3 linked regions of the Rattus norvegicus genome follow. The protein of the gene in region 2 interacts with the protein of the main gene of each other region in a pairwise test. Links are inferred from orthologs where the notes say so. Each region holds a gene or a part of one and is shown on either strand. Other genes may lie near its edges.

The links. The genes of interacting proteins can lie anywhere in the genome.
Region 1: the proteins of Nme7 (region 2) and Fosl1 interact in binary tests that used the Homo sapiens proteins (3 or more experiments, as listed by UniProt). The two-hybrid records come from large-scale screens. The link is inferred for Rattus norvegicus from reciprocal best matches to the Homo sapiens genes NME7 and FOSL1.
Region 3: the proteins of Nme7 (region 2) and Fkbp6 interact in binary tests that used the Homo sapiens proteins (3 or more experiments, as listed by UniProt). The two-hybrid records come from large-scale screens. The link is inferred for Rattus norvegicus from reciprocal best matches to the Homo sapiens genes NME7 and FKBP6.

What each region holds. Positions count from the first base shown.
Region 1 is NC_086019.1:212,189,814-212,193,072, reverse strand, and holds the end of Fosl1 (fos-related antigen 1), read right to left. Parts: intron 2,199-3,259; coding exon 2,091-2,198; intron 1,710-2,090; coding exon 1,293-1,709; 3' UTR 682-1,292; downstream 1-681.
Region 2 is NC_086031.1:79,224,790-79,228,544, reverse strand, and holds part of Nme7 (nucleoside diphosphate kinase 7), read right to left. Parts: intron 1,945-3,755; coding exon 1,737-1,944; intron 1-1,736. UniProt on the Homo sapiens protein: Possesses an intrinsic kinase activity. Displays 3'-5' exonuclease activity with a preference for single-stranded DNA. Does not seem to have nucleoside diphosphate kinase activity.
Region 3 is NC_086030.1:26,962,557-26,966,311, forward strand, and holds part of Fkbp6 (inactive peptidyl-prolyl cis-trans isomerase FKBP6), read left to right. Parts: intron 1-3,043; coding exon 3,044-3,238; intron 3,239-3,597; coding exon 3,598-3,707; intron 3,708-3,755. UniProt on the Homo sapiens protein: Has an essential role in spermatogenesis. It is required to repress transposable elements and prevent their mobilization, which is essential for the germline integrity.

The DNA.
Region 1 (3,259 bases), on a different chromosome or scaffold from region 2:
GCTCTTGCTGGCAGAGCAGCAGGGGAATGGAGACTGAAGTGGAGGGACTTGCTGGGTGGTTGGGTGGGGACTAATAAACTGGGAAGGAAGCAGAGCCTGAAGCCTGCCAGCTTGTGTCTGGAACTCGCCGGGGTTGGGAAGAGGGCGGAAACCCAGAGATGCGGTGCAGTTCCCATCGGCGGTGCTGCAGAGCTAGGGCTGACTCCCCATCACCTGGATTTGGGGTGGGATTTGAGACTGTGGTAGATCACTAACTCCCCCGATGGGCGCCAAGACAGGCCGAAATCCGGCCACTGAAGTGGCTCCAGCTCCCTTCCAGGCTCCTTCCTGTCCAAAACAATGGGACAGGAAGCAGGTGTTGGGGGCCTAAAGCCCACTGAGCCCGCCTGGTCAGATGGTGGAAGGATATACTGCCGTCCTTCCCTGCCCCCAGTCCTTAAGACAGAAGTAATGTGGGTTCCCATGGGGAAAATAATTGATAATCTTCTTTGCTTGCACTCCAAAGCATTCTCAATCTCTCAGTACAGGCAGAACAGAGGTAGCCCCATTCTTCAGGTGAGAATATTGAAGTCCAAAAACATATATGGCAGTTTCTTCAAGGTCACAGCTAAGACTGGAACCTGGAGCTCCTGTTCCAAATGGTTTCCTTTAGCCTCTGGATCCAACATGACAACTCAGACTAGAGCTTCAAGCCTTTTATTCCATTTTGGAAGGTTTGTATAAAAATAGTCTCTTTAGGAAAATAAATAGCAGCTGCCCTTGCTGTGGAGGCTTGGATACCCCAGAGCTAAAAGCTTCTCAGAGCTAGGGAGTACAGCTCAGCTCATCACAGAAGCTGTTGGTGCCTCCTGATCAGGAGGAGCCTACAGGGTGTCCTGGTGCTGCTGGCTGTTGGTGCTGTGTGAGTTAGTGTTCTAGGCTAGTTAAAGGGCACCTTCTATCTAGGCTTAGAGTAGGCTGGATAACATGAAGAAAGTGACATGGTGTGGGAAAGTGGTCTGCAAGGCATCAAAGGACCACTGGGGATCTACAAAGTCAGAGCTGCCAGGCTTACTCTGGCAGAGGGGACATATTTTCTCTGTATGCAAATTATGATAGGCCAGCTCTAGAGAAACAGTGAGCAGCTTTGGGGACCCCCAAGCTGGCTCTATATCAAAGCATAACATGTTTGTTCTACTTGAAAGAGATAAAAGACCTGCTGGTTTGGGGCATGGGTATGGTCCAGGCCTGCTGGATGAACAGGGAAAGGAGATGACAACGGGTAGCACCTGCAAGGGGTGTGGCTGGGTGCCTCACAAAGCCAGGAGTGTGGGAGAACCTAGGGGGTCGGAGGAGGGGTCACCACTGCTGCTGCTACTCTTTCGATGGGCTGAGGAACAAGGCTCTGGTGTGCTAGGATAGGTGAAAACCAGACTCGGAGTAAAAGGAGTCAGAGAGGGTGTGGTCATGAGCGTGGGGGTATGCAGTGCTTCCGGTTCAAGTACGGGTCCTGGAGAAAGGGAGATACAAGGCACTGGGCGGCAGGGGCCCGGTGGGCTACCCGCCCCACTCGTGCTGCTGGTACCACCTGTGTCCTTCTTGTCTTCTTCTGGGATTTTGCAGATGGGGCGATGGGCTTCCAGCACCAGCTCAAGGCGTTCCTTCTGCTTCTGCAGCTCTTCGATCTCACGCTGCAGCCCCGATTTCTCATCCTCCAACTTGTCGGTCTCCTTTACAGGATTAGCAGAAAGTTAGGAAAATGAAGGCTAAAGATCTCCAAGCCTCAGGCTGGAGTAGGGATTGTGCCTGGAATCCCCAACAAGTCTGGACTGCAACTCCCATGAGCCCCTGGGAGAAAATGGGCATGACTCCCATCAGGCCCAAGCGTCTTAGGAGATTTGCCTACCAACTAGGACTCTGCATTGAAGCCCAAGACAAACAATAGTTAAGCCACTTTCCCTTATCCTTTTTCCAGGACTTCCCCTCGGACAGGGAGGAAGGCAGAGTGTGGAAGAGTAACTTATTGGGTCTCTTATGTTCCTGGGAGCCGAGGCCCCTCTTAGGCTCGGTGGTTCCGGGCCTGGGGACCCTCTGTATCAGATGATGCTCACCGCCTGCAGGAAGTCTGTCAATTCCTTTCTTCGGTTTCTGCACTTAGCAGCTGCTAGCTTGTTCCGCTCTCGTCTCACCCTGCGGCGCTCTTCCTCCTCCGGGCTGATCTAGGTTGGGAGAGAAGGGGGACAATGAGGCTGACCCTGAGCCACCAGCTGCCCTGAGCTGGCCATCCAACTTTCCTTCAGCCTGTAGTTTAGGTACCCACACTCCACAGTTGTTTCTGTGTACCAGCGGCTGGTCACCTCATAGATGACATTCCCAGCCACACCTGGCTTTACTGCTGGTTTCTTTCCTGTAATGCTTTCCCTCTCCATAAACTTTGACCTTCCTCATCTTAGGACTGGACTAAGATGTTGGGACCCCAGGAGGCCTTCTCATCTCTCAGGCTGAAGTAGTCATCCCTCCTGAGTGTGTGAGACATGATTATCTCTTTTTTTTTTTTTTTTTTTTTTTTTTTTTTTTTGGTTCTTTTTTTTCCCGGAGCTGGGGACCGAACCCAGGGCCTTGCGCTTCCTAGGCAAGCGCTCTACCACTGAGCTAAATCCCCAACCCCGATTATCTCTTTTTACAGAACTCTCTCAGCCTTCTCATCTGTGGAAGATGAGATTTCTTTCCCCACAGGAGCTATGAATGGTAGAAGGTGCCCTTGAGTGCCAAAAGTTACTAGCAAAGCAATTTCTAGGACTTTCGTTTAGTGCTAGGGATCAAACCCATGGCCTGGTGCAGGCTAGCAAATGCTCTACCACTGAGTTACAGCCCTTACATAGGTTTTTTTTTTCCTGCTTTTCAGTTTTGTTTCTTTGTACTTTAGACAGAATCTCTGAGTAGCCCTGCCTGGCCTTGAAGTTGATTTATAGACCAGGCTAGCCTGGGACCCACAGAGACCCACCTGCCTCTACCACCCAGGTGAAGATGTGTGCTGCCACATCTGGCATGTGTCCCAGGCTGGCCTTAAACTCAACATGTAGGCAAGACTGGCCTCAGACCCCCATTCCTCGACCTCCACCTCCTAAGTGTTAGGAGCCTTGTGTCAGCCTCCGTCCCCCATCCCTTTGGTCTTCCCTGTGTAGATTCTTTTTGTTGTTGTTTGCTTTGTTTTTAAAGCAGGGTTTCTTTTCATAGCTCTGACTGTCATGGAACTCACTCTGTAGACCAGGCTGGCCTC
Region 2 (3,755 bases):
TAATCAGTTCTTTTAATGACTTAAATGCTGCCCTAAGCAGTTAGCATTATTCTTTCCACTAGGTTCTCCATAAAAACCTGTTCCTTGCTCCAACATCTGCCAGGAGCAAAGGACTCTCTGAATGGGCTCACCTCTACAAAGCTCTCCCTGACACCCCCACCAGCACCATGTATCCATCCCAGCTGTGACTATTCAAGGACTTGTCACCTACTGTAACATTATACATTTGAAGAAAAGGACCAATTTGCAGATCTTACTGGCTTCCAAACACCTAGAACAAAACCTGACTCTGAGTATTTTCTTTTCACTAAATTTATACTTGAAAGATCAAACCTGCCATTCTGGAGACAGAGGCAAAAGGCTAGTAAGTCCCCTGGCCGACAGAACAAGTCCCAGGCCAACTATGGCTACATAGTGAGACCGTGATTCAAGTTTACAATTAAAAAAGTCAAAGATAATAACAGATATGTTAATATGCTATACTAATACATTTTATATTTTATTAGAATACATTAATTATATAGAAAATAGGCCTCCTGGGGACATTTTCATAGAGGTCCACACGCACTGTGATCTTACCAATCCCACGTTACTCTCCCTTTTCCCTCTATCCCATCCTCTTCTCTAATGGTTTCCCTTCTACTTTTATATGTAAATATTCTTTAAAGCATAAGCAAGCGGGAGGAAGAGAATTTACTCAAACACTGTATATATTTGAGTGATTCAGTTGGCAGAACGCTTAAAAATTAATAATTAACTATTATTATTGACTATTAACCTGCTTTGTCACTGTAAGTTAATTTCTATAATTTTATATAGACTTATACAATATATGCTATTTTTTCTAGTTTCTTTCACTCAACAAAAATATTCTGAGATTTCCTTGCTGTAATAATTTCTTTTCCCTTTCTTTTTGACAAATCAGGTACCACAGATGGCTACACGGTGTCTTGTCCATTCAGCCATCTCCTGGGCACCTATGATATTGTAACATGGATTGTCACAAACAAGCTGTTACCAATACTCACATCCAAGCTCCTCACAGGATAATTCTTATTTTTTTTTTTGTTAAAACCTCGATTTTTTTCTTTCTTTTTTAAAGAAACCTTTCTTGCTTTGGAATTTTTAATTACATTTTTATGTTTATCTATGTGTATGTGCATGGGCAGAGGTCAGAGAATAACTTGTGGGAATAAATTTCTCTGCTTCCACCACATGGGCCCCAGGTAACACAGCAGAACATCCGGCTTTGCCGCAAGCGCCTTTACCCACTGAGCTACCTTGCGAGAACAAGACCTAGGGTTCTAGCTTCTTCATGTAAGCTGCATGTTCCAGATCTAGTCACCAGCTTAGTTCACACCACTGCCTCATCTGAATTACAGACTACTCAAATGAAACCTTCGTTTGGAGTATCTACTATAGATCCATAAACTAGTACTCTTAATTTAATTAAGTCACAAACACGAGCCTCGGCAAATTAATCTTTTCCAGAAAGATGGGTGGTAGCAAATGTCAGACTTTGAGAAAACTGCACTGGACAACTGTGACCAACCGTTTTAAAAGGGGGTGTGGCTTGGAAACGGTACCTGAGCCTAGGAAAACTTCACCAGGTTTTCCAGGCTACATCATTAGCTGTTCCAAACCTCCCAAAGTCCTCTGCAGGAGAAATGTTTTACTTTGACACAAGACAATTTCCCAAACAAAGCAGAAGGAAAATATTTCTCAAAACAACTTACTCTGGCAGCGGACTCAAAAGTATCAGAGCCGTGAGCCGCATTTCTTATGCCATCTGTCCCAAAGAGGGCTCGGACGCTTCCGGGGGCTTCTGAACGCGCTATCCCAGAGTTTGCGGGTCCAAGCAACCTTTTCCACTCACATATGGCATCATCTCTCAAGATCTCCATGGCAATAACAGGCCCACTTGTGATAAACTGGATCAGTTCGCTGGGGAGCAGGGAAAAGCCAGTTACTTCTCTACGCTGTCAACCTAGGCATCTGCTTGACAATGAAGGTATGTTAGGACATCATAGTAAGTTCGAGGACTAGCATGTTGTGATCTGTTTCTGATCACAGGGAAGTGTATGAATATGGGAAATCGGCATGAACAGATGCCTTACAGTGACTGAGTCTGCCTCAAAATCGTTACAGGAAATACGACAAGGCCATTTCTGTTTGCAAGGGGAGGGAACACTTGTTGAATTCGGATGATTTCACTGACTTAAAATGCAGACCATTGATCTGATCTTCCCCACTACTCTAAGAAGGAGAAAGGTGATTCCATTCTGTTTTCCAATGGCTCAACGCAGCAGCCATGTAGAGTATTATAATAATACAGTGACAAGCATGGTATTTTGTAATGCTCAAGAACAACTTATTTAATTTTGCAGTGTGTAAGTACTGGAATGCAGAGAGTGACACTCTAAATCAATGTGATAAAGAAAGAGAATGTCAACAGGCTTTCAAAACCAGGCCTGTATTAGGCGAAAACCTGCCCTGGGTAATGGTATCTAAGTGATGGACCAGACACACAGGCTTTTATTGAAGTTTATGTCTGAGTCCCAGCTCCCTGGGAATGAAAAATGACACTCCATTTTATCTTTCTAATCTTTCTATTTCTTCATGTGCACACAATGCAACAATACGTTTAACTTGAAATAAGTGGTGTCCCAGCCTCTTACCTTCTTAAGCAGAGGCAGAACTGACAGGGCCTTCTCAGAGAAAGGAAGACAGGATACAGGCTTACCCGCCTGTCATAGTCACATATGACTACGACTGCACTGCATATAGCTTCTCAACCCGTCATCAATCCCTCCAGTCACTTAATAATGGCTGTGGTGTGTGACAACTGAAGGCCTGGTGGGCTACCGACAAGATATTGATCATGACCAGTGCCAAAGAACCAGCTAATTCATTCCTGGAAACTTTCTGCATATGAATTATATAGACGATATTAAACCAGGTGCTGTGACTTAGGGTTATAAAGACATACAAAGACTCTAAAACAAAGAATAATCGCCAAAAAATGTATATGATAATTCTAACAAAGTTTAGGAATATTTTACAATGTATGATTAAGTCATAAAGCAGTAATTTTATTATATAAATGTTCTTTTTTTTAAAAAAAAGTTATCCTTCTGTGTATGATATCAAATAAAATGTCTACCGCGCCAGGTTGGCTAAAACTTCATTTGTCTTTATTAGAGATTTGTTGAGAAGCCCTTGGTCCTGCCAAGGTTGGACCCCCAATGTAAGAGAATGTTGGGTGGGGGTGCCGGGAGGGGGTGGATGGGGAGAGGAACATCCTTATAGAAGGGGAGGGAGATGGGAAGAGGGGACTTATGTCTGAGAAACCAGGAAAGGGAATAACATTTGAAATGTAAATTAAAAAATCCAATAAAAAAAGAAATGTAAATACATAAAATATCCAAGAAAAATAATTTAAAAATAAAAACCAGAACAATGATCAAGCAAAAACAAAACAAACAAACAAAAAAAAAAAAACCCCACAACCCCCCCAGAAATTTGTCATTCCTTTGTCAATGGCACTGAGTATGCACATTAGTCACTTTAATTACATCCAAAATACTTAGAATAGATGTTAGCTTCTAACATCTATGATTAGCCATTTCCAAAGGAACAAACTACATGTCCTTACTTAGTTCTGTGACTATTGCCTTGTCCATACAAGATATCAGAGTAAAGGCCTTAAGGTACAACAACATTGCCAACACAAACTATGATTACAAACTCGCTCC
Region 3 (3,755 bases), on a different chromosome or scaffold from region 2:
CAAACCCGGCTGTGTCTGTGATTCTATTTGTCTGTCTGAGGCAGAGTCTCTCACTATGTAACCTTAGCTGGCCAGTACTTGCTTTGTAGACCAGGCTGTCCTTGAACCCAGAGAGATACCTGCCTCTGCCTCCCGAGTGCCCGGATAAAAGGTGTGCACCACCATGCCTGGCCTGCGTGCTATCTTGATGCTGTTTTCCTAGGTATATTTTGAGTTACGAAGCTTCATTAAGCAATGCACTTTTTTTTACTTACGTCCATACGTATTTTAGTAATTACCATCCTGGGGAGGTGAGGAAATAGCTCAGTTGGTAAAGAGTTTGAAAGAAAGTATTATGATCTGACTTTGATCCTGAGAATCCATATTTAAAAATGAAGAAAAGGGTCAGGTGTGGTAATGCCTACTTGTAATCCCAGTGCTGGGAGAACAGGCAGGTGGGCTCTGGGACTCCCTGACCAGCCAGTCTAACCCCCTTGGCAAGCTTCAGGCCAGCGAAAGAGGCTGTATCCAAAAGAACAGTGAATGAATGGCTCCTGAGGAGTAATACCTGAGGTTGTCTTCTGGTCTCCACATGCACTTACAGGGACTCGCCCACACATACATTCACACATACAAACGTGTAAATACAAAAACTACTGTTCCCAAAAAGTTAAAATATCCTCATCCAGCACGGCCCTCTCCAGCTGTAGTTGATTTTCTTCATCGTATTTACTCTCTGTGGGATGTCCTGTCCCTCTATGAAGACTGGGTCACTCTGTGGCAGGTCGGGTCTCCAGCTATAGGGCTCTGGGACAAGCAGGTGGGACAGAGGTCTGTTGTGTTCTGGGCTGCGGAAATAGTACTATTTTACACACCCATTAATAGCATTCCACCTGCCCATTCCAGAATCAACAGTTCCATTTCTCCAGGAAACAGATCTGAGCAGGGGATACAGCTCAGTTGGTAAAATTGGCACTCAAGAAACCCTGGGTTCCATTCCCAACATTGTGTAAAACAGGACACAGGAGAACCGGAAGTTGAAATTCAGACTGCACCCATCACTCAGCAGTTAAGAGTGCAGAAGACCTGAGTTCTATTCCTAGCACTCACATCAGGCTGCTCACAACTGACTGCTTAGAACTCCAGCTCCAAGGGCTGCGTTATCGCTAAATGTTATCTCTAGCCTTTATTAGCACCTGCATTCATGTGCATATAATCACAGACAAGCACACAGATACACATGCCTACACATAATTAAAAATAAGAAATTGAATGTTATTCTTGCTACATAGTGAGTTTGAGGCCAGCCTGGGCTATATGAGACGCCATCTCAAAGATTTAAAAAAGGGAAGCTTAGAGTTTTATACCTCTAGTCTTTTTTTTTTTTTTTTTTTGGTTCTTTTTTTTTTTTTTCGGAGCTGGGGACCGAACCCAGGGCCTTGCGCTTCCTAGGTAAGCGCTCTACCACTGAGCTAAATCCCCAGCCCCTACCTCTAGTCTTAATATTTGGGAGGCATAAACAGGCAGATTGCTATGAGGTCAGGGCCAGCCTGGTCTACATATTGAGTAAGTTCCAAGACAACTAGCACTATATAGAGAAACCCTGACTTACAAAAAAAAAAAAAAAAAAAAGCAGAGATATGGCACTGAAAGGATGGTTTAGCAATTTAGAGCATTTCTGTTCCTACACAGGACCCAAGTTCATTTCACTGCACCCATATAGTGTCTCACAACCATTTGCAACTCATAACTTCAGTTCCAGGAGTCTGATGCCCTTTTCTGATCTCTGGGCTCCCAGCATACATGCATACAAACATACAGACAACACATTTATACACATGCTAAAAAAAAAAAGTGAAGAAGCTGGATGTGTTAGCACAAACCTTTAATCCCAGCTCTTGGGGAGGCAGAAGCAGCTTTATCTCTGGGAGTTTGAGGCCAGCCTGGTCTACACAGTGAGCTCCAAGACAGCCAGGTCTGTAGAGAGAGACTGTCTCAAACCCCACCTCCCAGGGTTCTTTTAATTGTGCGAGTGTAGGGTGTGTGCATTTAAAGTGCCGGTGCTGTTAGAGCCCAGAGGCATGGGGTCCCCTGTAGCTGGAATTACTGACAGTGGTAAGCCACCTCACATGGGTGCTGGGACTCCAGCTTGTCCTTGACTCTTGGTGGGTTTATTGTCCTTAATTCTTTGAGGCAAAAAGTAGAGCGTTGTCTGCAGACTGTTGTCTGCCTCATTCAGGTTTGCAGGCCTTCTCCTGTTAGAAACTTTCAAATTGGACTGAAGAGATGTCTCAGTGGTTAGAAGCATGTATTGCTCTTGCAGAGGATCTGAGTTCAATTCCCAGAACGCCCATTAGGCACAAGATGACATGTAACTCCAGTTCCAGGAAGATCTAACGCCCTCTTCTGGCCTCCACAGGCATTGTACTCCTGTGCACATCCTATTCCACAGAGACAGTTTCTTTGTGTAGCCCTGGCTGTCCTACAACTTGCTCTGTAGACCAGGATGATCTGGAACTCGGAGGTCTGCTTGGCTCTGCCTCCAGAATGCTGGGATTAAAAGTATGTGCCATAACCTCTTGGCATATGTCTTAGGGTTTTCATTTCTGTGAAGAGACACCATAACTAAAGCAACTCTTATAAAGGGCAGCATTTAGCTGGGGCTGGCTTACAGGTTCGTTCTGAGGTTCAGTCCATTATCATCATGGCGGGAACATGGCAGCATCCAGGCAGGCATGGTGCAGGAGGAGCTGAGAGTTCTACATCTTGTTCCAAAAGCAAACAGAAAACTTGTCTTCCAGGCAGCTAGGAGGAGGGTCTCAAAGCCCACCCCACAGTGACACACCTACTCCAACAAGGCTACTCCCTGAATTAAGCATGTTCAGACCTCCACAGCACATATCCGTAATTTAAAGGAATGCAAATAAATCTTAAGAAGCCTTTTGACTTTAATATGACATGTCTTGTGAGCTAGTTGAGTTCTTTCTTAGATCAGTAGTTCTGTGTGACTTGTAGGGATGTAGGACTGTCCCTCCTGACCCTTTGCCTTCCCTCCTCTCTCCAGGCCTTGTTGCTGCTCCATCGACGCTTGGCCATCTGTGAGGAGCAGCACTTGGTAGAACCTGCTGAGCTCCTAGTCCTCCTTAACCTTTCATTTGTGTACCTGAAGCTAGACCGCCCTGCTATGGCCCTGCGCTATGGGGAGCAGGCTCTGCTCATTGACAAAAGGAACGCCAAAGCCCTCTTCAGGTGTGGACAGGTGAGTTGAGGGTAGTGGGGAGAGGGGCTGGGACAGCAACTCAGTAAAGTACTTACCAGGCATGCAAGTCTGAGAGCCTGAGTTCATTTTCCAGGACCCGCAGTGCTAGAACCCAGCATTAGGGAGGCAGAGACAGGTAGACCCCTGGAGTTCCCTGGCCAGTCAGCCTACATGAATTGGTGAGCCCTGGATCCCGAAGGAGGACCTTATTTTGAAAACTAAGGTGGGCTGTTCCCGAGACGGAAGCCAGGTTTACCTCCGGTCTCCATTCACATGTGTGCTCCCACACAGAGCAGGAGGGCTCACGTGGGCTACTACCACAAATGCTAATCCCCTAATGTCTTGTCCTTTCTTCACAGGCTTGCCTCCTCCTGACCGAGTATGAGCAGGCTCGGGACTTTCTAGTGAGAGCTCAGAAGGAGCAGCCCTGTAACCATGACATCAATAATGAGCTGAAGAAGCTGTCCAGGTGAGAGGTGTGACCAGAGGCACAGTGAGACATGGCTGTGAGAATTGC